3 linked regions of the Sus scrofa genome follow. The protein of the gene in region 1 interacts with the protein of each later gene in a pairwise test. Links are inferred from orthologs where the notes say so. Each region holds a gene or a part of one and is shown in the gene's direction. Other genes may lie near its edges. The genes, in order: NT5C2, MOB3B and NME7.

Region 1 (10,122 bases):
GGATATGCCCCTGCTGCTCTCATCTGGACTGCTGTAGTAACCACCTAACTGATTTCCCAGTCCTTTGTCTCTGTGTCTCTTAGTTTTTGCTGCATAATAAATTATTTCAAAACTAGTGACTTTAAACAATGGCCATTTAGTTTAGCTCAAAATTCTGAGAGTCAGCTGGGCAGTTCTGGGATTGTTCAGCTGATCTAGAATGGTCTCACTCACATGTCTGGCAGTTGGCAGCCTGATGGCGGGGGCACCTCATTTCTGCATGTAGCCTTTTACGCTCCAGCAGATTTTCTCACTCTCATTCACATAGCAGCCTCAGAGTTCCAAGTGCAGCAGGAACAGGCAAGCCCCAACACAAAAGTGCTTTCCAGGTCTCTGCTTGGATCCCATTTGCTGCTCTTGAAGCCTGTATTCAAGGATGGAAAAATAGACTGAGTCTCTTAACTGGAGGACCTGCAGAGTCACATTGCAAAGGGCTAGGAAGGGAATTCCCATTGTGGCTCAGCGGGTAATGAACCAGACTGAGGATACGGGTTCAATCAGTGGATTCAGGATCCTGCATTGCTGTGAGCTGTGGTGTAGGTTGCAGATGCAGCTTGGATCCCGTGTTACTGTTGTTGTGGCTATGGTGTAGGCCCACAGCTACAGCAACTCCCATTTGCCCCCTAGCCTGGGAATTTCCATATGCCACATTTGTGGCCCTAAAAAGCCAAAAAAGCGGGGGGGGGACTGAGAAGAATTTGTAGCCATTTTTGCAACACACCTCACTTTTTTTTCTCCATTTTATCCTAACTCCTACTAATTTAATATTTTTACAGTTCAGCTCAGGTGATTTTATCCTTCTGCTTAAAAACTGTCATTGGTGCTCTGTTGACCCCGAATGAAGTATAAAAACAATAACATGAGAGCTCCCGTCATGGCCCAGGGTAACAGACCTGACTAATATCTATGAGGACACGGGTTTGATCCTAGGCCTCACTCAGTGGTTGAGGACCCAGTGTTGCCGTGAGCTGTGGTGTAGGTGGAAGATGTGGCTCGGATCCCACATTGCTGTGGCTGTGGTGTAGGCCTGCAGCTGTAGCTCCAATTCCACCCCTAGCCTGGGAACTTCTGTATGGTTAGAGTGTGGCCCTAAATAACATGATGTACCTCAATTCATCTTTTGAGTTGTTTTTCTCTGTTCCCCTTTCTCTACTTAAATTTCACTGGTGTCTGAATTGATCTGACTTTTAAGTGTCAGTGCATATGCTACCACTTTCATGAATCCTTCCTGGATTTTCCTCTCCACATTCCTGTGTTCACTTCTTTCCACTCCTGAGGTTGGGATGGTCTCCCTTTCCTCTGTTTTCTCATCTTTGCACCTTTCTTGTGGTAGTTGTGATGTTTTACCTTATTATAATTGTGTATGTGACTCACCTCCCTTACCAGATTGAGAACTTTTTAGGGGCTAGAACCAAGCTTGTTTATCTTTAAGAGTGACCCATGTGTATTATTTGGAACCCTGTCTTGCATGTAGCCACCAAAATATTTGAATTAATTTTTGAATGATGAATATTTTTCAGTTATTATAGTGCTATGGGTTTTTTTTGTTTGTTTTTTTGGTGTGTTTTTTTTTTGCCTTTTCTAGAGCCACTCCCGAAGCATATGGAGGTTCCCAGGCTAGGGGTCTAATCGGAGCTATAGCCATCGTCCTTCACCAGAGCCACAGCAACTCGGGATCTGGGCTGCGTCTGCGAAGTATACCACAGCTCACAGCAATGCCAGATCCTCAATCCACTGAGCAAGGTCAGGGATTGAACCCACAACCTCATGGTTCCACGACGGGAACTCTCTACTGTGCTATGTTTGAATGTCAGTTAATTTAAATTTTTTTTCTTTCAGACCAGAAACTAGAGAGCAGTATCCAAATAAATTTATCCAACGAGATGACACTGAAAGATTTTACATTCTGAACACACTATTCAACCTACCAGGTAGACTCCTTCTGTGCTTCTATACTGATATGTTTCCTTCTTTCCACAATCAATTTGTTGGTCTTTGCTCAAGGGGAGATAATGAAACAAGTTTTAATTATCTCACTTATAGCTTATGAATATCTATTCTTCATTTTTCAGAGACCTACCTGTTGGCCTGCCTAGTAGATTTTTTTACTAATTGTCCCAGATATACCAGGTATGTATATAGTATAATTTTCTTTTTCCAATTGATTTTTTTTAAATTAATGTACAGGGTTTTAGAGAACTGGCCATTGTAGGTCTTTTCTGCTTTTCTGAAGTGAATTTAGTGCTAGTGAGAGATGCCACATTGCCAGCCTGAGAGATGGGACAGCACCAGCAGCTCCATGCAGGCTCTCACCTCCCACACGGCCCCCTCCTTGCCAGTGTGCTGCAGCCATGTTTGGAAGGGACCACTTCTGATTGGCTTCTCCTGGGAATGAAGACGGCCAGCAGAGGTGCTAATTGTGACAACTGAGTGGGAGGTTTGTGTGATGATTATCTGTCCAAGCAGAATTGCACTAAAACCCCCCGACTCATTTCACAGCAGCTACCCAGGAGCCATTCAGGGATGGTAATTTAGTTTCATTCCCAGGCCCAGCAAAATTTGATTAAGGAATAAATAATGTTTATCCTCCCTGAAGTAGAATTTTGCCTAAGTCTTGAACAAGTTGTTATTTCCTTTCTAGGAGGAATTGTAAGTTCAGCCGTATGTACTAGAGTTGCTAACTTCTTATCCTCTTTAGGCCTTATCTACTTCAAGGCACTAAATTTAGTGGAGCACTAAGTCACTTAGATAAAGAGAAAATAGGCAATACCTTTGTACCTAGAGACAATGACGGAAAAGTCAGGGTGGAGAGAACCTAAATTACCCATTTAAAATGTTTCTTTGATGGAAACTTGTTTCTTAAAAGTGTTGGATAAAAGAACTGGATAATTTTGGAACTGGCCTTTTCACTTCCATTCAGTATATTCTTCTACCGTTTTGTATCTGTTCAGAGTTATTGTATTCCGTTGAACCCTATAGTCATCTCTGGTGGTCAAAATGGATTTTCATTAAGGGGTAATTATTTTCCAAATTAGCCGAACATCCTTTATCATGTGGCAGTGGAACCTTTGGGTCCCCTGGGCAGTGTTTGATATTCACTTTATTTACCCTCTTTTGGATTCCCTGTCATGTTCTTTGCATCCTTCTGTAGCTGTGAAACAGGATTTAAAGATGGGGACCTCTTCATGTCTTACCGGAGTATGTTCCAGGATGTAAGAGATGCGGTTGACTGGGTTCATTACAAGGTACCTAGGAGCTGCTTCTTCACCTGTTTACTGTCTGGCATGTGTTTTTTATGATCTGACATTAACTTTCCAAGTGCAGATAGAGCATAATTTTTTGTCTGTTAAAAAAAGAGGGGATTGGGGATTCCCCCCTGGGGATAACTCTCTAGAATACATTTGTCCTTATCTTTGGCTGTCCTGTTTACAGAGGTAATGCTGTTCTTTCCTCAGGGGTGGTGCCTGGAGATCTTATTTCACTTTGCATTTCCCAAACTTACTAGAAGAGATTTTAGTGTTAGGATTATACTAAACATATCTTTTGATGATGGCTTATGGTTCATTTGTTTTTTCCGAATACCTCTGATTTGGCTGATAACATTAACTAATGAATATTATGTTTACATTTATTATAAACTATACTGAATAGAATATGAAATACCTTTTGATTTCTAGTTTAAAAATAAAAATAGTTTTATATTTTAAACACATTTTTTGAGGCCTAGTTGCGTCAGATCACATCTGCCACTTTATCCTGGCCTTCTTTAGTTTGTCTACTTCTCCATCTTGAAATTACTAGGCTTATAGTAGACATGATTTTTCTAATGGACTTAAAAGTTGATTTTGTTCTTATTTCCTTTTTTTCTTCCTCTAGGGCTCCCTTAAGGAAAAGACAGTTGAAAATCTTGAGAAGTATGTAGTCAAAGATGTAAGTAATAAAGGGAAAAATAGAGCTACATGATAACTTTACCTATTAGGGAAATTAATAACAACCCTATTTATAATGCAGTGGACAAGGGCAGATATTTCTCTGTCTTGGCAGTTTAAAACATACTAAGTATAGTCACCTAGAGTTTTCAGCTAGAGTGTGGGTCTTAGTTTTTCCTGTTTTTTTTGTTTTGTTTTGTTTTGTTTTGTTTGTTTGGTTTTTTTTTTGTCTTTTCAAGCACCACACCTACAGCATATGGAGGTTTCAGGCTAGGGGTCTAATTGGAGCTGTAGCCTCCAGCCTACACTAGAGCCACAGCAACGCGGGATCCGAGCCTCATCTGCAACCTACACCACAGCTCAGGGTAACACTGGATCCTTAACCCACTGAGTGAGGCCAGGGATCGAACCCTCAACTTCATGGTTCCTAGTCAGATTCGTCAGCCACTGAGCCACGATGGGAACTCCAGTTTATCCTGTTTTTGATAGGCAAGACCCAGCATTTCATTTGTCCTTTTAGCTCTGATTATAATAATAGCAGCTAGAGTCATTACTGTAGGCACTTCACTGAGCTAAGTGATTACATGCATTATCCCATTTAATCTTCCATATAACCCTGAATTGATATTGTTCCCTGTGCTTTATAGTTGAAGAAACTGGGGACTAGGAGGATTAAATAAATTGTCCAAGTTCATACAGTTAGTAAGTAGTAAAGTCAGGAGTCACACCTAAATGTAACTGGATCATAACCACAGTGTTAGATCATCTCAAAAATGTACCTATGTGTGACAGTTATTGAAATTGTCTTTAACCTATCAACAGGGAATAAGGAGGAAAGTTTCAAAAGACATTAGTGGAAAATCTAATACAAGTTTTATTTATTTATTTTATTTTTTCCTGTGGCATATGGAAGTTCCCAGGCTAGGGGTCAAATAGGAGCTGTAGCCACTGGTCTAGGCCACAGCCACACCAGCAGGGGATCCAAGCCATGTCTGCAACCTACACCACAGCTCACAGCAATGCCAGGTCCTTAACCCACTGAGCAAGGCCAGGGATCGAACACACAACCTCATGGTTACTAGTTGGATTTGTTTCCGCTGTGCCACAGCGGGAACTTCCTAATAGAATTTTTTAGTATTTGTAATTTAGTTAAGAGCATTGTGCCAGTATTAATTTCTTAACTTCGATTATTATACTGGGATTAAAATGTTAATGTTAAGGGAAGTTGGATGAAGAATGTATGGGAACCCTCTGTATTATTTTCATAACTTTTCTGTAAGTTGGAAATTATTTCAAAATAGAAAGTACACACAGACATATGTATAGCACTGAGATCAGATACTTCTTTCTTTTCTTACCGAGTAAAAGTAGCAGAATGCAGTATTTTCCCAAAGTACTTTGTAAAGATTATTTGATTTCAGGGAGGTCCCATGTGCCTCAGTCAGTTAGGATTTGGCATTGTCACTGCAGTGTCTCAGGTCACTGCTGTGGTATAGGTTCAATCTCTGGCCTGTGAACTGCCACATGCTACAGGCACAGCAAAAAAGAAAAAGAAAAAGGAACATTGAGGGGTTCAGGAGAGGTTCCGGAGGATTTGAGTGAAGGAATTTATTTACTGTGAGAGAAGGAAAGGCTATTGTTCTTTCTGGTCACATCAGGAGTTAGAATTTCCTCATACATCTGCAGGTGGGTCTGGGCATTTGTAGGTTGCATCCTATACACATCATGTCATTCTCAAGGTATTTCATAAAATGAAAGTATACACAGTGAAGCCGTATCTGATACTCTTCATCTAGGATATTTAGCTGATGTTTAAAATCAGCTTCTACTGATCGCTGACACACTTAATTCACTTACTTTAAGAGATTACAAGGTAATTTAAACTCTTTCCTGAGGTGGATATAATGAGGAATTTAGAGACATGTTTTTAATAAGCATATAAGCATTTCTATATTTCATATAGAAATCTATTCAGTCCATGTATATTCTATGTATATAGTACATAATTCCCGCATAATGATAATGGTCTTCTAAAGGCAAAATTATAAAACCAACCAACCAACCACCCACCCTGTAAAAGGCATTCCCTCTTCCTATTTCATTGGACAAAAGTCCAGTATTTGACTTCTGGACTTAATATATACTGATAGTCCCAGCGTAATTTAATATATACTGATAGTCCCAGACTTAAGAGTTTTTGCCTTTAAAATGGTGTGAAAGTGATACACATTCAGTGAAAACTGTATGCCAGGTAAACTGAATTCTGATCCTTTTCCAGGCTATTGATATGCCCTGCAGTACTCTCATGATGCTGGGCCACAGCACTGAGCTATAGCTTCCGGTCAGCCACGCCATCTCAGGGGTCAGCAACTTATCTAGCCATTCCTCTTTTCACTTGCAGTATTCCATAAATTATATGAGATAGTCAACACTTTATTATTTATTTATTTTTGTCTTTTTGCCTTTTCTAGGGCCTCTCCCACGGCATAGGGAGGTTCCCAGTCTAGGAGTCTAATAGGAGCTGTAGCCGCCTGCCTACACCAGAGCCACAGCAATGTGGGATCCGAGCCACATCTGCAACCTACACCACAGCTCACAGCAACGCCAGATCCTTAACCCACTGAGCAAGGCCAGGGATCGAACCTGCAACCTCATAGTTCCTAGTCAGATTCGTTAACCACTGCACCACAATGGGAACTCCACTTTATTTTATTAATTAATTAATTAATTAATTTATTTATTTACTTGTTTTCTGTCTTTTTGCCTTTTCTAGGGCCGCTCTCACAGCATATGGAGGTTCCCAGGCTAGGGGTCCAATCGGAGCTGCAGCCGCCAGACCACACCACAGCTCATAGCAGCGCTGGATCCTAAACCCACTGAGCGAGGCCAGGGATCGAACCCAAAACCTCATGGTTCCTAGTCAGATTCGTTAACCACTGAGCCACAATGGGAACTCCGACTCCACTTTATTTTAAAATAGACTTTGTGTTAGATGATTTTGCTCACCTGTCGACTAATGTATGTTCTTGGCACATTTAAGGTAGGCTAGGCTGTCATGGTCGGTGCATTATCAGGACATAACCCCATCATAAGTGGAGGAAGATCTGTGCGTTTTAATGTTTTGCTTATCATCATAATTACATTCCAGGGAAAACTGCCTTTGCTTCTGAGCCGGATGAAGGAAGTAGGGAAAGTATTTCTTGCCACGAACAGTGACTATAAATATACAGATGTAAGTGCTAAATATTCATATTTGTTTATTTATACAAAGAAATTATTTTGGACTGAAGACTGTAAAAATAATGAGAAAGGTGGTTTTTAAGTAGAGTAATTTTTTTGCCATTTCATTCTGAAAACAGAAATGAAAAAAGCAAAAATACGGCATGCATCAGAGTGGTTCTCAAATTTTTCTAAATATTTCTTTTGACTATTTTCCCTGATTACAGTTGGCTACTTGAAGGTTTTCATTTTGGGGGTGTTTAAAACATTCATGCTGATTAAAATGTCTTCTTTGTCATTTCTAAAACTTGAGAAATCACACCCTTTATTGCACATATGTATGTTCATACCCTCCCTGCTTTTGGGAGCCAGACAGTAATAGATGGTGCAAAGATGTCTTGACTCTGAGCCATCAAATTTAATACCTGATAACTTTAAAAAAAATTTTGTAAACCATCTATAATGGAAAAAATAAAAATCATTATAAAAATTTTTTGCAATGATTAAAGCATACAGAAAAGTCGATTTAACTCCTTAATCTCATATACTTTTGCTAAGGCAGTTACAAGTTCATAGTACTAGCAAGAAACTCAGCGTTCCCTAATCCTCGTTATGTAAAATGTTGATTTAGAGATGTGATAATTCAGAGTAAGCAAGTTGGAACAAGCAGTAGGAAGGCCAGGGTGTGTCATTTCCATGTGAGTTATTAGTTTTTCCTACACCCATATCTCACATACCCCTTACCTCCAAATATATGTTCCAGTCTACTAGGAAAATTGGATATAGGTGAGTCTGTACAAAATTATCTCCTAGAAGAAGCCAATGTTCTACTGAGAATGTCAGAAGCTTGCTTTTGTTTGTTAAGATCGAGCATTAATTTTTGGTTTACATTACTATCTCATAAACTTTAGAGGTAACAAGAATGTGATGAATCCTATACTGAAAAAGACATGTTTTATAAAAAGTTTGTGTGTGATTTTTTTAGGTGTCAGATATCTCTTACAGAAGTAGTATATGGACCTTATGTTGAATTTTTTTTCTTTCCAGAAAATTATGACTTACCTGTTTGATTTCCCACATGGCCCCAAGGTACTCTATGTAACTTAATAGACTGTTGCTTTAGTAATAATCTGTTTAATCATCCTGAAATATTGAGGGTAAGGAATTGATCAGGAGCCATGTAGAAATCTTCATTAATATGATTAGCAGTAACACAGGAGTTAGGATAAAGTTGCTAGCAATTTGAAAACTTGGTAGACAGAAATAAGAGATTCCTGTGGTATTTAATAGGGTAGGATCAGAATAACTTTATGCCCAAGAAGCTCTGTACAGAATTTTTAAATTTGTGTGGCAGTGAAAGGAATTTTCAGGTTGAGGAAGATAATCTGAGAAGGAGAAAATGTGTATAATCTTGACAACTTCTAGATTCTGCTCTTATTGCTGCGTTTTATGCCAAGAGAACAGCTAACCTTGATGCTTAGCAGGTAGTATCATTCCTGCACTATTATACCTAGATCTAAGGAATACACATTGCAGTTTAGTCACTAGGCCTCTTTAAATAAATATACATCAGTAAATAACTCATGTTGATATCACTCATAAGGACAGTATGCAGTGCTCTTCAGCTTGACCTTAAAAGGTTAATGCTGTGGTTCCAGTTGAGGATGGAAATAATGTTAATGGGCATACCTTCTACATTAGTGCTGTGATTAGCCTGCAGTATAAGCCAAAGGCCAATGTGTACCTGGAGCCATCATTCTGAGAACATAACCCAGGAAATTTGCTATTAATAGTTCCATGTTAGTTGTGTACTGCAGTTCTGATGCTAATCTGCCTATTTCCTAATGTTTCTTTATATGTCTTACGTCTCTCCTTAGCCCCTGTGAGCCTCTTACAGCCCATTTTAGAGTATGAACACACCTTCTTTGATATGTTAAATTGCTTGAAGTAAATTAGTAGGGTGAAATGATTTAAAATAGATTGTTAGAGTCATTATATTTTCACTTTGCCTGCTTCCAAAAGGATGTGGCTTATAATTAGCTACACTATGTTTTTAATAAGTGTGGTTTTCTGGTTACACTTAGTATTTCTACATTCCTTTCATCTGAGTGAGATTAAATACGAGTGCCCTAAAGTTAGGAGTGATGTGTTGGCTTTTGCTGTTTCTCCCTTATCAGCCTGGCAGCTCCCATCGACCATGGCAGTCCTACTTTGACCTGATCTTGGTGGACGCACGGAAACCACTCTTTTTTGGAGAAGGCACAGTACTGCGTCAGGTGGATACTGTAAGTTGAGAGAGGATGGTCTGTCTGTGAGCACATTATCCTTCATATTTCTCCTTCCCCCACTCCTACTCTCCCTAAGGAAACAGGTATTTTTAATTTATTTGCCATCGCTCTTTGAAATTCATCTAAGAGTTTTGGTCTTAAGATAGCTGAATAATTCAAATGAATAAAGTTCAAAAGTAACATTCATTTGGCTGTCTAGCCAAGTAGCATCTTGGTGGAGATGGTGATAGAATAATAAAGCATTACAAAGTTCATATTCTCTTTTCACAGAAAACTGGCAAGCTGAAAATTGGTACTTACACGGGCCCCTTACAGCATGGCATCGTCTACTCAGGGGGTGAGTCCCATACTACCCTTTAATTTAGTCTAAGTCTTGGCTCAGACCTCACCGCGAAAGCTTTGGTGTCCTCCTGGGACAGCACCTCATATACCCTTGAGTATTCTAAAGATATCATCTACTGAAGGTAAACATGTCAGTCACTTGCTAATACGAGTCAGGGAGAATGGGTTTAAGATCTTAGTATCTGCTAATGAATCTTGGATTTTCACTGAAAGGATCAGGTTTTTGGTTTTGTTTTGCTTTTTTTCCCATCCTCCTTTTACCTATTTGAAACATTTTCTCAGTGTCTAGAATCATGTGGGGGTGA
Region 2 (10,222 bases), on another chromosome or scaffold:
TCCAGGAAATGTCATCCTAAGGGACCGTGAATCTTCTGGATTCAGTGTGGAATGTGACCCAGGCTGGGTGCTGGAATTTCTTACCCTCATGGGGGCGGGGCTACATGAGGGTGGTGTGAACTGGGCGCTGGAAAGAAAAGAAAGCAGTGTTTTTTGAGCACTCACCTGTCCGTACTGACAGTGACAGGCCCTGGGCTAAGTCTGTTACATGCAACCCTTCACCGAGTCCACATGTTTGCTTACATTATTTATCTTTTCTAGAAAATGAAGGAGCTGACTCAGAGGGCTTAGACACAGCTAATATGGATCTTTCAGACTCTGAAACCCATCCTCTTAATTCCCATGCACCTTGTCTCTCTATAATTTATCCTTTGAAGGATCCTGGCTTCTCTCTTTCCCCTAGAAGAGCTTGGAAGTAAGATTCATGAGTGGGTCCCATCCAAATTCCTCAAACGTATCCCACAGGCACCTGGAGATGATGGTCTGAAATAGCCTAAAAGTAGGCAATTTCAGCTGGGACAAATGCAGCCTTGTGGACTTTTCCACTCATGTGTCAGGACACATAGAACACTAGCGGTCATGAGACCCTGAAGCAATGTCCCAAATTTACTAGTTGTGTAATCTTGGGTGAGTCACTTAATCCAGGCTTAGCTACTTAATCTGTGAAATGGAAATGGTGAAAACTATACTTGTCCAAAGGTCAGGAATGGCTAGTTGCTCTCATTCTAAATTTTTGTTATTGTTGTTTTTGCCATGGCTTGCAGCAGCTTGATGTGGGATCTCAGTTCCCAGATCAAGGAACAGTGGTGAAAACCCTGCATCCTATCCATTAGACCACCAGGGAACTCCTCCCATTATCCATTTTTTTCCTCTTTTAGAAACTTTTCAGTCTCAGATATTTGAGGCTGTGCTCTGGACCCAGAATTATAGGTCTGTGATTGCCATTTTATAAGGTGGCAGACAGAGGTAGCCGTCTCTGAAAAGGTTTTACTCAACAAGAAGTTCATTTTTCTATTTGTTGCCTGTTGAGTTACAGCTTCAGACACTACTTTGGAAGCTCCTTTAGGTAATTTTTCTCCATTAATAACTGTAAACAAAAATCATTAAATTCTTTTGATCTCTAGCCTAGCTTTGGGGATCCCGGCCCTTATCATCTAACTGCATGCCTAGCTCCCATACCAACTAGTTTAAAATCTTGGTTCCCAGAGCACATCTGGCATTTTTCTCCCTTCCAGCACCTTTACTCCTGTGGTTCCCTCTATCTGAAACAACTTTTTTTTTGGGGGGGGTCTTTTTGTCATTTCTTGGGCTGCTCCCACGGCATATGGAGGTTCCCAGGCTAGGGATTAAATCGGAGCCTAGCCACCGGCCTAGGCCAGAGCCACAGCAACGCGGGATCTGAGCCGTGTCTGCAACCTACACCACAGCTCAGGGCAACGCCAGATCCTTAACCCACTGAGCAAGGGCAGGGACTGAACCCACAACCTCATGGTTCCTAGTCGGATTCGTTAACCACTGAGCCACAACGGGAACTCCCTGAAACAACTTTATTATCTGATTCCAACAACGTCTACCGTCTTAAGCCCAGCTCAAATGCCACATCCTCCCTGAAGCTCTCTACAATCGGCTCCATCTAGAATTCATCTAGCCTGTCTCTATGCTCCACAAGACATGTTCACCTCCCATTCACTATCCCCCACAGTCTTTTTGTTGTTATTGCTATTTGTGTTTCTTGGGTCATTTTTACTAGATCATAAGCATCTTCAGGGCAAGATCTAGAACTGCCCATGTGATAGTGGCAGTGCAATGTGAGGGTCACAGCCATGGGCTTCAGTCACACTGCCCACTCTAAAACCTGCCTATCTGAGGAGTTCCCATTGTAGCTCAGTGGGTTAAGAACCCAGCCGAGTGTCCATAAGGAGGCAGGTTCGATCCTTGGTCTTGCTCAGTGGGTTAAGGATCTGGCATTGCCATAAGCTATGGTCCAGGTTACAGATGCAGTTCAGATCTGGTGTTGCTGTGGCTGTGGTATAGGCCTGCAGCTACAGCTCTGATTCGACCCCTAGCCCAGGAACTTCCATATACAGCAGGTGGAGCTGTAAAATGAAAAAGAAAAAAAATAAACAAATAAAGCTTGCCTACCCGATGTACTTACCTGCCTGACCTTGGGCAAGTTTCTTCAACTTTCTAGTCTACAGTTTCTGTACCTATATGTACCACAGAGGGATCTTGTGAGAATTAAACGAGATATTCCAAAATGCCTAGCAAGTACCTGGCATACTATAGCTGCTTAATATATATTAAGTATCTCCAATGTCCATGGTGAAGGCTTTTCATTAATTATTTCAAGATATATTTATTGAATGCTGTATTAGTCCATTTAGGCTATTATAACAAAATGCCATACTCCTGAGTGGCTTAAACATGGACATTTACTTTTCACAGTTCTGGAGACTGAGAAGTCAAAGATTACAGTGCCACTGGAGTTTCTACTGTGGCACAGTGAGTTAAGCATCAGATTGCAGTGGCTAGGGTCGCTGCAGAGGTTCTGGTTAGATCCCTGGCCCAGGAGTTTCTGTTGTGGCTCAGTTAATGAACCCGATTAGTCCACAAGGATGCTGGTTCAATCCCTGGCCTTGCTCAGTGGGTTAAGGATCCAGCGTTGCCCTGAGCTATGGCGTAGGTCATAGATGCGGCTCAGATCTCTCATTGCTATGGCTGTGGCATAGGCAAGCGGCTACACCTCCTATGGGACCCCTAGCCTGGGAACCTCCATATGCCAAGGGTGCAGCCCTAAAAAGACCAAAAAAAAAAAGAGAGAGAGATCCCCAGACCAGCACAGTGGGTTAAAAGATCCCAGATTCCGCATTGCTGCAGCTGCAGCCTAGGCTGTAGCTGTGACTTGGATTCAATTCCTGGCTCCGGGGACCCACAGTGTGCTGAGATATGGCCATTAAAAAAGAAAAAAAGATGACAGTACCAGCTAATTGGAGTCCTGGTGAGGTATCTCTTCTTGTCTTGCAGATGGTCCTCTACTCACCATTGTCCTTAAGTGGCAGAGAGATAGCAACCTGTTTTTTTCTTTTTTCTTCATATAAAGCCACTAATCTCATAATGAGGGCCCCACCCTCATCAGCTCACCTAACACTAATTACCTCCCAAAGGCTACACCTTCAGATACTATCACATTGAGGGTTAGGGCTTCCACATATGGATGGGGTGGTCATAGCACATGTCTATATATTTTCTATAGATTGATTGAGCTAGTCTAGGGATAGAGCAATCAACTCAAACAAAAACCATCCTTGTCTCAGGGAGCTTATATCTGATGGAAAGAGTAAGGCAGTGTGTGGACAGAACAATTGTTCCCACAGATGGCCATATCCCCATCTCCCTAACATGTGACTATGTTATGGTACAAACGGGAACCAGGTTGCAGATAGAATCAACATTTGTAATCAGCTAAATTTTTAAAACAATTTTTACTATAGTTGATTTACAATGTTCTGTCAATTTCTGCTGTACAGCAAAGTGACCCCGCTATACATACATACACCTTCTTTTTCCATCATGTTCCATCACAACTGATTAGATGTAGTTCCCTGTGCTGTACAGCAGGATCTCATTGCTTATCCATTGTAAAATATCATTGTAAAATATAGGAGTTCCCATCATGGCTCAGTGGTTAACGAATCCGACTAGGAACCATGAGGTTGAGAGTTCGATCCCTGGCCTCGCTCAGTGGGTTAGGGATCTGGCGTTGCTGTGAGCTGTGGTATAGGTCACAGATGCAGCTCGGATCCAGCATTGCTGCGGCTGTGATGTAAGCCGGCGGCTACAGCTCCGATTCAACCACTAGCCTGGTAACCTCCATATACCACAGGAGAGGCCCTAGAAAAGACAAAAAAAAAAAAAAAAATTGTAAAATATAGTACTTTTATATATAGTGCTATAGTACTACATACAGTACTTTTAAACTTTCATAATATGGTATTTCTCAATCAAAATGCATTAAGACACTATCATATGGGAACTAAAAAGGTGTGCAAGACGTTCTTTTCCTCAGGAAGCTTATATTTAATGACTCTTACTATGCATTAAAAATACTTTCTATGGGAGTTCCCACTGTGGCTCAGCAGGTTAAGAAGCTGACTAGTGGCCATGAGGATGTGGGTTTGATTCCTGGCCTTGCTTAGTGGGTTAAGGATCCGACACTGTTGCACGCTGAAGTGTAGATAGGTTGCAGATGCAGCTCAGATCCGTGTTGCTGTGGCTGTGGCTCTGATTCAACCCCTAGCCTGGGAACCTCCATATAGGCAAGTGTGGCCCTGTAAATAAATAAATAAATAAATAAATAAATAAAATTTCCTATGTTTAGTTGACACTTTACAGCCCCTGCAACGTAGATACTGCTCTCCCCAATTTACAGAGCATACTAAGGTTTAGAGGTCATAGACCCAAGATCACTCAAATAGAAAGTAGAAGGCTGTGGGCTGGGCTTCAAAGTCCACGCTCATTCCATTAATCCCAGATTGTTCTAGAAAATTCGCTAGAATCTGAAGGTATTTTCCGATGATTAAGGCTCTCCTCTAGCATTTTTCATCAAGTTAGAAAATCTTGAAGAAGGTAAGCGATTTCCCCCTCTAGGTACCTTGGGTGTGGCCATTGTGGACCCAGAGAGCACCCTTTCTGATCTGATATCTTCTTCCTCTTCTCAGTCAAAGGGTCACTGTCTTTTCCGCAAGGCTGGGAGCCCAGCTCAGACTGTCCATTCCTCACCTCTTTTCAGAGGTAAGATAACCAAAGGAGACCTGTAGTCCTTTCCCGACGGAGCTGCCATTCCGCGGGCGGCCGCCAGGGGTCCCCATTCGCATCTCCGCACGATAACCGCGCGCCGGGTGCCCGTGGGGGCTGCTTTGGAGCCGCCGCGGCTGCAGCTGGAGCCCCGCGCTCGCACGCCCGCGCGCTTACTGAGAACGGGCGCCTTGGCTCCAGAGTCCCCAGCCAGATCCGCGAGCGTCGCCACTCCTGCCTGGAGCTCACCCTCTTCCTCTTGCTCCGCCTGCAGCTGGCTCGGCGCGAGGAGCCGACAGGGCCTCGGGGCTGAAGGTAAAACCCCACGGTGAGTGAGAACCCGCTCCCAGCGAGGGGAGGTGGCGCAGCCGGTAGCCTCTCGCGCCCGGTCGCGCCCTGGAGGGTGGAGGTATGGGGCGCACCTGGGGGCGGGTGCAACAGGAGGGCGGGAGGCAGCAGACCCCGTTTCCCCGCCCGCCCTCCGCGGGCTTCCGGGGCTGGAATCCGCGTCAGACCCCTACCCGCGTCCTGACTTCTGGCCGGCTCCTCCCGCTCTCTTCCCGGGTAGGAACTAGAGTCCAGTCTCCACCCTGGGCTCCTGGGCCTTGATTTTAAAAGGTCTATCAATAAAGTCCATCTTCCTTCGGGGTTCGAGTGTGTCCGCCAACCCATCCCGCATCGCAGATGACTGCAGGGTGCGTGCTGTGCTGTGGGAGGCGGGAAGACAAAGTTTTACAAAAGTGCGCCTGGGCAGGGGGGCAATGTTTAGGGCGTCTTGATACTGAAGGAGGAGGCTCGGCTTGGGGCTGAGAAGGGGAACTCGGCCAGTTCGGGGACTGTGGACGCTTCGCAGAGGCACAGGGTGTGTAAAGGACGTACAAATCCTGCTGAATCCCTGGGCCAACAACTGTCAAACATCTGGAATCCAAGCCCCTCCTTTTCCCTGCACCGAAAACCCTTCAACTTTACTTTGATCGCTCCTCCTGCCTTTGGACCCTTCTCGAAGGGTAAAGGGCCGACCCCCGGCGCCAGGCGAGTGACCAGAGACCCCAAACTCCTCAAGATCCCCCTTCACCCACCTTCCCGACCCCTCCCGGACGTTTTCCCCGCAGGGACCACGCGACAGAGCCGATTGAGATCGTGGCGAATGGCCTTTTGTTTCTCCTCGTTTCCCCTATTGTTTGCCTTTCAAACATCTGGCCGGGCTAGGGAGAGAAGGAAGCCCCTCTCGTTCTCCTCCCCAGCTCCCCACGCCCGCCACCCGCCCAGCTAGAGCCCAGGAACCGCCTGGGGAAGGAGAGGAGCCCGACCCCAGCGGGGCCGCCCCACCCGGGCCTTGTGGTTAAAGGGCGGAGGGAAAGTTGTTCCTTCTCCGCCTCCTCGGCTGCTTGTGGCCCGGGGCGCATTTCTCAGATCTTATCCCGAGCGCACCGCGCTCTAAGAGCGCAGGTCGGGAGGGGTGCCGCTGCGTTCTACCCCAATCCGGGGAGACCTTTGGTGGGTTCCAGTGGATTCCAATCTCCACCTAAAGGCGTGTGGCTGGGCAGCTGCCAGGCGGTGGGACAGGATTGAGACACGTCTGGTAGGCACACAGCTCTAAGGCTCTGAGGCCCGCGAGTTTCCAAGGGCCGAAGGTCAGGGGAGTCGCCTTCAACAGAATGGAAACGGAAATAACCTAGGAAACCTCGAGACTTTGCCTAGAAATGGGAGTGAGGTGGCTCTCTCCAGAATGAACCTGGAATTCTGAGTTTGTGTAGGGCTCCATGTTTAAATCCCTGGTCCCCTCTCAGCATTTAGAGAATGCACATGCACAACCGGAGGACACAGCGCCAGCGCCTCTAGAGCGGTGTTCATCTTTCCAAGTTCCTGCCAATTGGTGTTTTGGAACTGCCCCCGAGTTCCGCTGTGAGTGTGCCCCTGAGAGTGCAAGTGGCCCGGTTTCTCAGCCTTTCCTAGTAAGTTGGATGCTTACACGTGGTGCTTATTCTTTGTAACTGTGAATAATTAAAGAACTAGGGCTTATGCCTGAAACTAATATAATATTATAAACCAGGTATACCTCGGGGGAGAAAAAAAAAAAAGCAACCTTGGGCAAAAGCAGAGTAGCCATTCTGAGAAGGCAGGGTTCCCAGATTGTGTCCAGAGAGTCGCTTAGCCTGTGAGGGAGATTGTGTCTGCACACCTGTTGGAATCTATACTGTGCAGGATTGTGGTCACATAGAGCGCTTTCTCCAGTAATTTCTGAATCTTTCCAGTAGGACCAACAGAAGAAAAAAAGCAAGATTTTTGAAGCACCAGAAGCTACTTTACAAACATTTCATTGTGAAAATGATCCCCAAGGAAGGATTCCTTTGAAGTTTAGCAGCAGGAGAAGAGCAAGAAGGACCTAGGTGGTTAAGAAGTATCCAAAGGCATCATTAACAAAGTGGAAGGGGAGTTCCCCTGCGGCACAGTGGGCTAAGGATCTGGTGTTGTCCTTAGCCCACTGTGCCAGAGCAGAGGCTCTGATTGCTACTGTGGCACAGGTTTGATCCTTGGCCCAGGAACTTGTGGGCAGGGCCCAAATAAAAGGTAAAAGGACAATGTCTCGCCCAGTCTGCCCCAGTAAGGAAAACAGGATAATGGTAGTGAAAGATAAGCTTGTACAGTTTCTTTATTTTAGAATTAAAAAAAAAAACAAAACTTCCCCATCGCTGTGGAAAAAATAGAAAATACAGAGGTGAAAATTAAAAGTGAATGGATATGATATGATAAACAAGACTTTACTGAAGAACCTTATCCAGTTATTTCCTTAGAATAAATTTCTGGAGATAGGATAGCTAATATCTAAAGAGTTAATGCGCTTTTTTTAGGATATTTAAAATTGCCATATTGTCCCACAGTAAACGTGTGTGGGAGTTCCCATCGTGGGGCAGCAGAAATGAATCTGACTAGGGAACCATGAAGTTATGGGTTCCATCCCTGACCCTGCTCAGTGGGTTGGGGATCCAGCGTTGCCGTGAGCTGTGGTGTAGGTCTCAGACACAGCTCAGATCCCGAGTTGCTTTAGCTGTGGCTGGCAGCTGCTCCGATTCGACCCCCAGCTGGGAACCTCCATATGCCACGGGTGAGGCCCTAAAAAGCAAAAAAAGAAAGAAAGAAACATGTGCCCGTTTAGCCTCTCTCATTAATACACAAGAGGATTTTTTTTCCCCTCTACCCTACACCCCACTGCTATTCTATATTATCAATTCTTTTTTTTTTTTAATCTCTGCCACACTGGTGGGAGGGGAGTATCTTATTTTCTTCTTTTGAATTTCTTTAATCACAAATGAGATTAAACATTTTACATATTGTCTGTTCGTATTTGTGTGATGATGCTGTGTTCTTCCCTATTTTTCAGTGAGTGTTCTCCTTTTTTCTGACTAGTGGTGCGCTTAATAAAAGCATCCTGTTATGACTTCTGCCCCTCCCGGTACAATCAGACAAACTTTATTGATTTTGAAGTGCCAATTCTCTTCCTTCTTGCATTGCAAACGTTTTGGCAAGATGACAACCACAAATGACTAAAGAAGCTGACGTGGTCCCAGTAGAATTATTAGGGAAACCACGTAAAGACATTGTTAGAGAAATTTGTGGAAAATATCAAGTGTTTACTTTCTGCTGAGTAGCTTGCCTGCCCCAGCTCCTTTATAGCTTGAAACGTTTTTTTAAAATTTAGAACTATTAATGAGTTATTTCTACTAAATGGATTATACTAACTCATTTTATTGTCTGATCCTTCCACTGATAACCAGTAGACCATGATCCACAACTAGTTCTTGTTCTTTTAAAACATTTTTTTCTAACTTTTGGACTGAATTTGCCTCAGTTTTATCATAAGACTTTCTCTGTTGGCTATACCATTTGAGCCCTGTGCTTGGATGAATATTGAATCGAAACAGTTTGAAAGCATGCTGTTAACGCAGCAGCAGGAGAGGTCTTCCAAAAGCTGAACCAGGAGCTGAACTGGGTCCATTTCATCTCTAACGTGCATTTGGGTAGCCACAATCTCTCTGTTAATTCTTTTTTTTTTCCTCTTTTATAAATCTGTTTTATTTACCTCAACACTTCTAATTTGGTACTTTTATTTATTTATTTATTTTTTAATATTTTTTTTTTAATTTTCCCACTGTACAGCAAGGGGGTCAGGTTATCCTTACATGTATACATTACAATTATATTTTTCCCCCACCCTTTCTTCTGTTGCAACATGAGTATCTAGACAAAGTTCTCAATGCTATTCAGCAGGATCTCCTTGTGAATCTATTCTAAGTTGTGTCTGATAAGCCCAAGCTCCCGATCCCTCCCACTCCCTCCCCCTCCCATCAGGCAGCCACAAGTCTCTTCTCCAAGTCCATGATTTTCTTTTCTGAGGAGATGTTCATTTGTGCTGGATATTAGATTCCAGTTATAAGTGATATCATATGGTATTTGTCTTTGTCTTTCTGGCTCATTTCACTCAGGATGAGATTCTCTAGCTCCATCCATGTTGCTGCAAATGGCATTATGTCATTCTTTTTTATGGCTGAGTAGTATTCCATTGTGTATATATACCACCTCTTCCGAATCCAATCATCTGTCGATGGACATTTGGGTTGTTTCCATGTCCTGGCTATTGTGAATAGTGCTGCAATGAACATGCGGGTGCACGTGTCTCTTTTAAGTAGAGTTTTGTCCGGATAGATGCCCAAGAGTGGGATTGCGGGGTCATATGGAAGTTTTATGTATAGATTTCTAAGGTATCTCCAAACTGTTCTCCATAGTGGCTGTACCAGTTTACATTCCCACCAACAGTGCAGGAGGGTTCCCTCTCTGTTAATTCTTGCTTGAAGGTAGATGATTCTGAAATGGGGTAGAGGACAAAGGAGGAGAAAGTTTATTTCAGCTTGAAGATGAATTAATACCAATGAAGGACCACATAAGAACATTTAAGCAGGAAGTTCATGTTGTGGCTCCATGTTAATGAGCCCAACTAGTATCTATGAGGATTCGGGTTTGATCCCAGGCCTTGCTCAGTGGGTTAAGGATCCGGTGTTGCTGTGAGCTGTGGTGTAGGTTGCAGATGTGACTTGGATCTGGTGTTTCTGTGGCTGTGGCATAGGCTGGTGGCTACAGCTCCGATTCGACCCCTAGCCTGGGAACCTCCATATGCTGCGGGTTCGGCCCTGAAAAGATATATGCACACACACAAAAAGACAAAAAGATAAAGTATAGGAGTTACCTCCATGGCTCAGTGAGTTAAGAATCTGACTGCAGTGGAGGGGAGGGTTTGATCTCTGGCCTGGTGCAGAGGGTTAAAAGTATTCCGAATTGCAGGTTGTAGATCTCAGCTGTGGCTCAGATTCAGTCCCTGGCCCAGGAACTTCCAAGAGTGGGGCCATAAAAAAATTTTTTTTAAGTATATTAA
Region 3 (10,122 bases), on another chromosome or scaffold:
CTACACCACAGCTCATGGCAACGCCAGATCCTTAACCTACTGAGCAAGGCCAGGGATCGAACCCACAGCCTCATGGTTCCTAGTCGGATCCGGTAACCACGGCGTCACGACAGGAACCCCAGGTTGTTGGTTTTTGATGGGATTTTAAAGTTAATACAACTCTATTTCTTCTCCCCAAAAGCGTGACCTCTGGTATCAATTTACTTTTTTTCTTTTACAATAAAAAGTAATTGTTTTTATTTTATTTTTTTAAAGAGGTGATGATTATATTAGAATATCTAGAGCTCACAGTGAAAATGGTTTCAAAGCAGCAACTTATGGGCAATACAATATATACTTTCTGTAATTTCCTAAATAACATCAGCTTTATAAAAGAATTTTGGCATCTTGCAATTCCTGCCATGGCGCAGCTGGTTAAGGATGCCAGATTGTTTCTGTGGTGGGATGGGTTTGATCCTTGGCGTGGAATGGTGGGTTAAGGATCCAGTATTGCTGCAACTGTAGCCTCGGCTGCATCTCTGGCTCAGATTTGCTCCCTGACCCAAGAACCTTCATATGTTGTGGGTGCGGCCATAAAGAAGAAAAATTAGCATCTTAAACCACACTTCACTGACTCTTGATTTCTTAAGATTCTTGAATTGGGATATAATTGCAGAGAGATATTTTGTTAAATATGTTTGATATCACAGGGATCAACCTGATTTCCTTATCCCATTTTGTAATAATCCATTCCCTTTCTCCTACATGATTATTAAAGATGATAAAACTTGATCCTGTATAGAATTATTTAACTTAGATAGTTAAATAACTCAGTTCATCATTAGTTTAGGCTCACTGAATGACTTTTGTATCATTTTACATAGGCATTGCTGTTTAACAGGACAAAACATTAGCTTTGCAAAGTTTGAGGGACCAAAGTTTGAGTTCTGACTTACTTCTTTCTTTGCTGTTTAACCTTGGACCAGTGTTCAAATTTTCTGAGCTTTGCTGTCCTTGTCTATGAAGTAGCATCCCTATTTCTGTCACCCTACATTGTTGTGAGAATGAAATGAAATAATTGCTACTTAGTAGATACTTTAAAAATTATTGTTGTTATAGTCAAAATTAATAGTTTTTAATTTCTTAAAGTTTGAATGGCACTGATTTATTAAACACTTTGGGAATTGTTTTTCTCTTGTCTGAGAAGTAAGAGATGAAGAAAAGTCATTCTAATAGAACAGAGGGTGAAAAATTGAACAGAACATCTTTAGTTTGTTTGCCTGTTTTCTTAAGAGACATTCTCTTCACTGATGTTCATTGGAATTAGAGAACAGGTGGAGCAACTGATATAGGAGATACTTTGGTTTCACATAATTCAGACTGTCGTTTTCCCTCGCACCCTTTATATTCTTACTGGCCTGCATTCAAATTCTACTTGTTTTGTATCCCACAAGACATTATTATTATTTTGTATTACATTATTTATTTAGATTTACCCACATTTTACATCTCCATTTTTTTTTTTTTTTTTTTTTTTAGTACTTTCTTCTATTCCTTTGATCATCTGGTATCATTTTCCTTTTTTCCTTCAGAACTCCCTTTAGAATTTCTTTTTCTTTTTTTCTTTTCTTTTCTTTATTTTTTTTCTTTTTGGGGCTGCACTCATGGCATATGGAAGTTCCCAGGCCAGGGGTCAAATCGGAGCTACAGCTGCTGGGCCTACGTCATAGCTCATGGCAGCCCCAGATCCTTAAGCCACTGAGCAAGGACAGGGATCAAAGCCTCATCCTTATGAACTGGTCAGGTTCATTACCACTGAGCCATGGTGGGAATCCCCTAGAATTTCTTTTAATGCAGGTACACTGGCAATAAATTCTCTGTTTTTGCTTGTATGAAAATATCTTCATTTCATATTCATCTTTTGAAGGGTAATGTTGCTAGTTATAGAATGTTATGTTGTCAATTTTCATTCTTCAATTTCTGAATGATTAAAAATAAATATTCTGGCTCTCTGGTGAAATTATTAAATTGGCTTATATTTTTTATATCTATCATGTTATTCTGAAGCCTTTGTCAGATGATAACTAGAATATTCCTGGATTTATTTCTATTGTGTTTTTTTTCTCTTGGTCGTCTTCTTTGGTCTTCTTTTTAGTTACCTTTGAACGCTTGACATTGGTTATGAAAAGCTGTGTTGCCATTTCTGGAGATGCAGAGGGCTAGAGTGGTGGAAGTATCACTTTGGTGTGATCAAGGACGAAGCTGTTGAGTGAATACAATTCACTCAATTGAACACTTGTTTGAAATTTTGTAAGGATCAGTTTACCTTTAGTTTACCCATGCTCTTGGAGTATAATACTCCAAGAGTCACAATGGAAAGGCTAAACAGTTTTCCAAGGATCTCCTCTTTGGTGTGTTTGAATTCTTGTTTTTCTCTCCCCCTCTCCCCAGCACTGTGAGAATACTGAATGCTCCATTGAACAAAAACAGGTTTGAGCTCATATTGCTATTGTTTCCTTTTCTCTGGGATCTTTGCCCCTAAAGTGCTGGCTTCTTTGGTGGGACCAAATTATAGCTTTTGTCTACTTATCCTTATGACTTTGTCAAAAGCTCTGTTGGCTTCTCTGCCTTTTGGAAGCCTTCCTCTACCAGCTTCTTGAGCTTCTCAGTCTCTCATTCAGCTTGAGTCTCATGTAAAAGCAACGTGACGAATGCCATGCTAACCTCAGTGAGATCTAGTCTTTCTTAATCTAGATCATCAAATCTGGCTGCTTCAAATGCTCTCCAAGGTCATCAAACAGATTTTTAAAAATATCTCACTTCTCTAGTTGTTCTTGGATAGTAGCATTGATTTGCTATAAGCTACATTGTCAACTAGAATAGTAATTCCTCAGTTTATCATCTTTATATTATTTTCTGGATAACCAATCATGAGAAATTCTTCTGTCTGCCTCAGAATTAAAGGGTGATTGGCAGATTTTATGGTTAAGCTGCCTGGAAAACTGGAAGTGCCAGATTTCATTGGTTTTTCATTTGCTTCACTCTCTTTGCCCTTTTATTATTATTATTTTTGTCTTTTGTCTTTTTTAAGACCTCACCCGCGGCATATGGAAGTTCCCAGGCTAGGGATTTAATTGGAGCTGTTGTCACTGGCCTACACCAGAGCCACAGCAATGCCAGATCCTTAACCCACTGAGCAAGGCCAAGGATCGAACCTGCAACCTCATGGTTCCTGGTCGGATTTGTTTCCACTGTGCCACCATGGGAGCTCCTTTTACCTTCGCTTAGATGTCTCACCATTTCATCCATCTCATATATTATTTATTTTAGTGAAGGCAATATTTCAATGATATTTTTGAGCAAATTCCATAAAAAAGAGCAAAATAGTGCCATCTGCAGCAACATGGATAGAACTAGAGACTCTCATACTAAGTAAGTCAGAAAGACAAATACCACATATCACTTATATCTGGAATCTAATATATGGCACAAATGAATCTTTCCATAGAAGAGAAACAAACTCATGGACATAGAATACAGACTTGTGATTGCCAAGGGGAAGGGGGAGGGAGTGGGATGGACTGGGAGTTTGGGGTTAGTAGATGCAAACTATTATATTTAGAATGGATAAGTGATGGGTTCCTGCACAGGGAACTATATCTAGTCACTTGTGATGGGACATGATGGAGAATAATGTGAGAAACATTAAAAAAATTTTAATATAGATAGTAAAATTTTAATGAACTACTAATATTTAAATTTATTAAAAGGGGAGTACAATACTAAAATGCACAGTGAAACCTACATTTTGAAAACCTGTATTGAAAGAATAAAAATAAAAAAACTGTATTTATAAGGATCAATGAAAATAGTAAATGAAGAAAGGCTTGTCATAGTATATCTCATTTTTATTTTCTCTTGACTAATAAGCATTGTTTAAATGTGTCATTTTGGAAATTCCCAAACCAGTTATAATTAAAAAAACCCAAAAAACATTATATATAAAAAAAAGTGAAAAAATGTTTCTTTTTGGATGATTATGAGAAAAAAATAAAAGAGTGTCTTAAAAACTACCTACATTGTAGCTGATGAGTATATATCATAAATATAACTAGATATACTACTATTAGAATTTGTAAGTGTATTATTAACATGAAAGGAATCCATTCATATACCCTAACCAGAGAATCGAATTCTAAATCCAGAATTAGCAACAAAACACTTAGATTTTCTTCCTGTGTCTTCATTTGCTTATCTTGATGAGGGATCTTTGAGGGCTAAGATATTATTAATAACATAGGATGGGAAATCCTTCACTAGACGAGGGAAGAGGGCCAATCTTTGACTTATGTTTTCATTGTATGTACCTCACATATCTTCAGCTAGAGGTAGCAAAATGACCAAAGGTCCTCAGCTACTGTGCTCTGAAATCTACTGCTGCTTTTCTACCTAGCACATGCTCCCCCAGGGCTCACTCGGTGACTGAGAGGAGCAGAGTTACTAAAGCAGGCTTCTCCTCTGTGGAGTCAAGGAACTATCTGAGGGCTCTTGGCTTGAGCACTCCCCGATGGTCTTACTGAACCTTCCTTGGACTGTCTAGCAATCCAGGAGGATTTCACCCAGCCTTCCTTCTCTCTCTCCTTCCCTCAAGGTCAGATTCGTATGGTGGTCTGCCAGCTTCCCCTGGATCCCTCCCTATTTTCCCTTGCAGCAACTTTCCATACAGAATTTCTTTTACAGGAATAAAATTCTTGCATGTTTAATCCCATCTTGGCATCTTGTCTGCTTCTTGGAGGATCTAGACTAGCACATTCTCCCTCTATTTCTGTAAAAGATACTATCATGTGAAATTACTAAGGAGAGAAAAGATACTTACTATAATTGAATGACAACAATATTCTAATACGACTGGATTCTTAAAGTTAGGTCAGTTAACACTTCATGTAATTTAGGGGTAGCCTCTCAGAAATTTTTTTTTCCCATGCTAGTTTATTGATCATCTGCCTATGTGTAAACTTGCTTTCAGAAGGACTGAACTATCACAGTAGTCAGATCAGGAGTTGATGTTCTAAAAAACTGTCATTTTACTCAGGATGGTTGGATGGCCATGAAGTATTAAGCAGCTCATATGTCATCTTTGAGATATCTAAGGATATTTAAAAAGAAATTAGAAGGAATATTTCTGAGTGTTTTGATAGCTGGTAATATTGTTGAAATTCTATTCAGTATGACAAGAATTATTCAATATAATAAGTAGTAACAGATTTGTTGCAAATATTTACTGATTCTTTAAATTTGTATGACTTTGAGTCCTTATATTTTATATGTTCATGTTAAAATTCTTCTCTTTGCAGAATCACAGTGAAAGATTCGTTTTCATTGCAGAGTGGTATGATCCAAATGCTTCACTATTTCGACGTTATGAGCTTTTATTTTACCCAGGGGATGGATCTGTTGAAATGGTAAATGAACCTTTCTTCACTTAAAAGCGGGTAACAGGATGAAGGTGGGCTAGGGAGAGGAAAAGGATTGCCTTTTTTGTAGTTACTTTTAAAAATACATCCTTTTTATTTTGATATTGTAATTCCAATATAAGAAGATACTTTTGTACCTTTATTTTTAATAGAAATTATTATTTTTCTTTTTCTTTTTTTTTTTTTAGGGCCACACCCATGGCATATGGAGGTTTCCAGGCTAGGGGTCCAATCAGAGCTACAGCTGCCGGCCTACACCACAGCCTCAGCAACATGGGATCCGAGTCGCCTCTGCGACCTATGCCACAGCTCACAGCAAGGCCAGATCCTTAACCCGCTGAGCGAAGCCAGTGATCAAACCGGCAACCTCATGGTTATTAGTCGGATTCGTTTCTGCTGCACCACATTGGGAACTCTGAAGTTATTTTTTTAGTTAGAAAACTGAAGTGGGATTATTCATGTTTTGGACTAAGCAATAATCAGCAAGTGGCTATAGACAAAGATGATCATGATCATAAATATGTTACCGTTGTTGAGTGCTGTTCATTACTGTTATCTCTACGAAAAGCCAAATAGAAGAAGATTGAACTCAAAGAGTCCCACTTTATGTCCCTTCATTGACAACCCCTTTTGCAGGTGGATCTGTTTGGTAATTTGGATCTTGTATGGGCAAGAAAGGAGAAATTTGGAATTCTTCAGATTTCATAGCTACCAATTTGTGGCAATGGTTTGGCAATACATAAATCGTTCTATTCAAGGTTTTTAAAAGTATTAAATGTGTACTTTTTATGTTATTACTGGATTAGACTAGGAAATGGATAAATTTGTTTTCCTTTTGGCCATGGCATGCAGGTACTTGATGTGGGATCTCCTTTCCCAGACCAGGGATTGAACCTAGGCCACAGAGGTAAAAGTGCTGAGTCCTGACTAGGCCACCAGGGAACTCCCATAAATTAGAACAGAAATTATGATTTGTATTTGTAGCAATAACGAAAAAGAATGTAACATGTTTAATAAAGCAGAATTAAGAACTATTTCTAGTTTATAATAAGATTAACATTTTCTATTGATATTGATTTGCTTTATTGTGGTGTTTTTGGTTCCAGCATGATGTAAAGAATCATCGCACCTTTTTAAAGCGGACCAAATATGAAGACCTTCACTTGGAAGATTTGTTTATAGGCAACAAAGTGAATGTCTTTTCTCGACAACTGGTGCTAATTGACTATGGGGATCAATATACAGCTCGTCAACTGGGCAGTAAGAAAGAAAAGTAAGAAATCAATTATGTAATCTTTTTTCTTTTTTAATTCTGAGATCATTATGTATATCTTGGTACCAAATTCTAATTTCTTGTTTCTATCCTGTTTCTACAGTGGAGATACTTTTCAGTGACCCAATTCAGTGTTATGACATGTTCAGAATTTTGTGGAGCAAATTCTATGATTTGTTCTTCACTCAAGTAAAAAACGATGCCCATAATCTTGCACACTGATTATTTTCTAGAGGAAAAAGATGCACACCTTTTATACACCCTCATCATTCTTTTAATTGGGAACTGAGAATCCAAGTCTTTGGTGTATTGGATAACTAGCCTCTTGAGAAGAGTAGTCATGAGTACCATACGCTCAGTAGAAACTCAGAGTAAAGTAAAGCTGTTTCTTGCAGAAGAATAGGAAAGACTTTGTGAGGATATTTGACAGGATCATGAAAGATGGACTGAATTTTTACCAGGGATGGATCAAGTTGGAGGAATGCTGGTCAGAGGAATGAGAATGAACAAAAGTACAGTGAAATGTTATGTACTGGGAGGAGCCCATTGTTCTGCATGGCTGACTTGGTGGTTAAAGTATTTTTAAAATATACATAGTAAAATAGTCTGAATTAGGATGGTAGCAATATGTAGGAAGAGGAAGGAGGAAAAGTATAAGATTAGTGGGGGTAGAGTAATAATAGACATGATAAGCATTAATATCTGTTAGCTATTTTTATGTCAGGCATTGTGTTAAAATGATTTGCACAAGTCATTTATTTAAGTCCCACAACAGCCTAAGACAAAAGTTAATAATATCATTATTCGCTCCACTTTACAGATGGAGAAGTTGAGGCTTAGAGATATTAGGTAACTTACCGAAGGTCACAGAGTAGAGGCAAAATTAAAGCCCAGTGTCTGCCTGAATCAAGAATGGGAAGATTTAATCATAGGAGAATGGAGAGGACTTGCAAAATGGTGGCCTTCTTTCTGTCTCAGTTCATTTTTATGTCTCCTGCGGCACTGGGCACATCTCCTCACAAATTACAAGCACCATGTTAGCTGAATGAATCAACGTATAACAGTTTGAAACTTACCTACTCTTTCCTTTTTTTTCATTTCCTCCCTGTTTTCAAATGTAGATTTTTGATCTAGTTGGCAAAGATGTTTTTGTCTAGATTGTAATATATGTTCTCTATTTTCGAGCTTTATCCACAGACATAATAGATGTCTGAAAAATAGTGATTGATCGATTGAAGACAGGATGTATGAGTATTATGAAAATATAAAAACATTATGATACAGAGAAACAATCTGTCTTCAAATCATAACTACACCCCTAGAGATCACTGTAGTGATGCCTTAAACAGTAAATTATTCGCAGGGGATGCCCCACAAAAATTTGTTGACTGAATGAACTTACATTGTTGAAAATTGTATTTGGAGGATGAGCTTCTGGCTGAGTGGCCTCCTACCTTTTCCCTTCCCCACCCCAGTTGCTTGTGGCTCTTCCTGTTAAGTGGAGAAACTGCAGCATGATGCCTTCCTTCTGTGTGTCTCTCTCGTCTTCTCTCTCCATCGTTTGTCAAAGCTACGTTTGTTCTTCTGACTTGTCCTCAGTTTTGATTGAGAAGAGAGACAGAACAAGTTGGAGATGTAACTGAAAATCAGGCTATTCAGAAAACAAAGACTTCTCATGTTTTTCTTCTGAATGTCAATTTTTATTATTATTAAAATGACATTTTAATTTCCAATGTACATTTATGAGTTTGCAGCTTTGTGAGTCTAATAAGAACTACATTTGAAATGCAGTTTTAATTCTTTGCTCATCTTTCTTTGCTCTGGTTTCTGTGGTTTATATTAAATTGTATTGTGCTGATTTGGATTCATTGCATTTGTGGAGTGATTGTTGCAGTAATGAAAAAATAGGGATCACTGGTGGAAGTTAAGGCTGCATGTGTAAAAAGCTCCAAAAACTATTTAATTCTATAGGAAAAAACCTGTCAAACTATTTTTTGAGGTTTGCTACTGAAATAACTAGCAGATTACCTAATATCTGAGTTCCGCCATAGTAATATTTTTTTTATTTTTTATTTTTTATTTTCTTTTAGGGCCACACCCTAGGGGTCCAATCGGACCCTTAGGGGTCCCAAGCTAGGGGTCCAGTTGGAGCTGTAGATGCCAGCCTATGCCAGAGCCACAGCAATGTGGGATCCGAGCCGCATCTGTGACCTTCACCCACTGAGAGAGGATTCTTAACCCACTGAGAGAGGCCAGGGATTGAACCCGCATCCTCATGGATGCTAGTCGGGTTCATTAACTGCTGAGCTATTATGGGAACTCCCCCATAGTAATATTTTTTATGAGACTTCTTTATAAGCACTTTATAATTCTTGATGTTCATTGTGGGTATTACTACACAGGTGTGGATGGATCAGCATGGTGTTGAATGACTCCTAAAAAAGGAAAACCAAAGGATAACTCTAAAAAAGGAAAACCAAAATGGAATGTTAGATAAATAGGAATCACATCGTTATGAAATATACTGGTAAAAGTCTATGGGATTAACGAAACACTAACCACAGTTCCTTTACTTACAAGTAATAAGTATGTATAGTTTTATTGTTTGAGTACATGCTATATGCCATTCTTATGGTATGCACTTTTCATATGCATCTCAGTTTAAGACTACAAATTTTCATTTAAACTGGCAAAAATAAATGAATTAGGGAGACAGGGTTAATAATATGACCCAAACAAAATAAAATAATAATAGCTATAACAATTATAACTTCTATTTATTAACTCTGATTTGTCTACAATAAATGTTGATTCCACTTTACAGAACAGTTCAGTAACTTGGCCATATTCACACCATTATAAAGTAAAGGGAAATGAATAAGTCTTATCATGTTTAACTCTAAAAAAACTCATTATCTTTCTGTTAAAATTCTAATTAATATGTTGGTAAATACTATTGAATTGACTGATTTAATAATAGGAGGAACAGAAGAATGTAAAGACAGCTTTTAAATATGTGGGCTTTGTAAATATAATTAATTAAAATATGTGCAGTATTATATTTTTACTGACTTAAAATTGTTTCACCATTTTCTCTTCTGATTCTTTCTTAACTGCATGTGGGTTAACAAATCCAGCAACCGTCTGGGTGATTTAAACAGAATTCTTCAGAATTCAAGAGTTTTTAACATGTACTATTTCATTTAAGTGACCAAAAATTAGGCATATGGAGAAAATGCATGCAGGTCTATCATGGTCCCATAGAAATAGCTTTAATGTAATAATTATAACTAAGTCTAACTCTCAGTTTTATATGGTGTCAAGGAAAATGTATGAGCTGATTACATTCCTATCATATATATCATTCTCAACTCCTTTCTTTCTGGAGTAAAGCCT

Evidence for each region.
Region 2: the proteins of NT5C2 (region 1) and MOB3B interact in binary tests that used the Homo sapiens proteins (3 or more experiments, as listed by UniProt). The two-hybrid records come from large-scale screens. The link is inferred for Sus scrofa from reciprocal best matches to the Homo sapiens genes NT5C2 and MOB3B.
Region 3: the proteins of NT5C2 (region 1) and NME7 interact in binary tests that used the Homo sapiens proteins (3 or more experiments, as listed by UniProt). The two-hybrid records come from large-scale screens. The link is inferred for Sus scrofa from reciprocal best matches to the Homo sapiens genes NT5C2 and NME7.

Annotation. Positions count from the first base shown.
Region 1 is NC_010456.5:114,067,040-114,077,161, reverse strand, and holds part of NT5C2 (cytosolic purine 5'-nucleotidase), read left to right. Parts: intron 1-1,878; coding exon 1,879-1,970; intron 1,971-2,111; coding exon 2,112-2,169; intron 2,170-2,272; exon of another isoform or gene 2,273-2,476; intron 2,477-3,190; coding exon 3,191-3,284; intron 3,285-3,915; coding exon 3,916-3,969; intron 3,970-7,116; coding exon 7,117-7,200; intron 7,201-8,234; coding exon 8,235-8,276; intron 8,277-9,364; coding exon 9,365-9,472; intron 9,473-9,745; coding exon 9,746-9,812; exon of another isoform or gene 9,813-10,122. UniProt on the Homo sapiens protein: Broad specificity cytosolic 5'-nucleotidase that catalyzes the dephosphorylation of 6-hydroxypurine nucleoside 5'-monophosphates.
Region 2 is NC_010452.4:38,433,448-38,443,669, forward strand, and holds the start of MOB3B (MOB kinase activator 3B), read left to right. Parts: upstream 1-4,485; 5' UTR 4,486-5,122; intron 5,123-5,189; exon of another isoform or gene 5,190-6,749; intron 6,750-10,222. UniProt on the Homo sapiens protein: Modulates LATS1 expression in the Hippo signaling pathway which plays a pivotal role in organ size control and tumor suppression by restricting proliferation and promoting apoptosis.
Region 3 is NC_010446.5:81,689,287-81,699,408, forward strand, and holds part of NME7 (nucleoside diphosphate kinase 7), read left to right. Parts: intron 1-5,333; coding exon 5,334-5,441; intron 5,442-6,559; coding exon 6,560-6,726; intron 6,727-10,122. UniProt on the Homo sapiens protein: Possesses an intrinsic kinase activity. Displays 3'-5' exonuclease activity with a preference for single-stranded DNA. Does not seem to have nucleoside diphosphate kinase activity.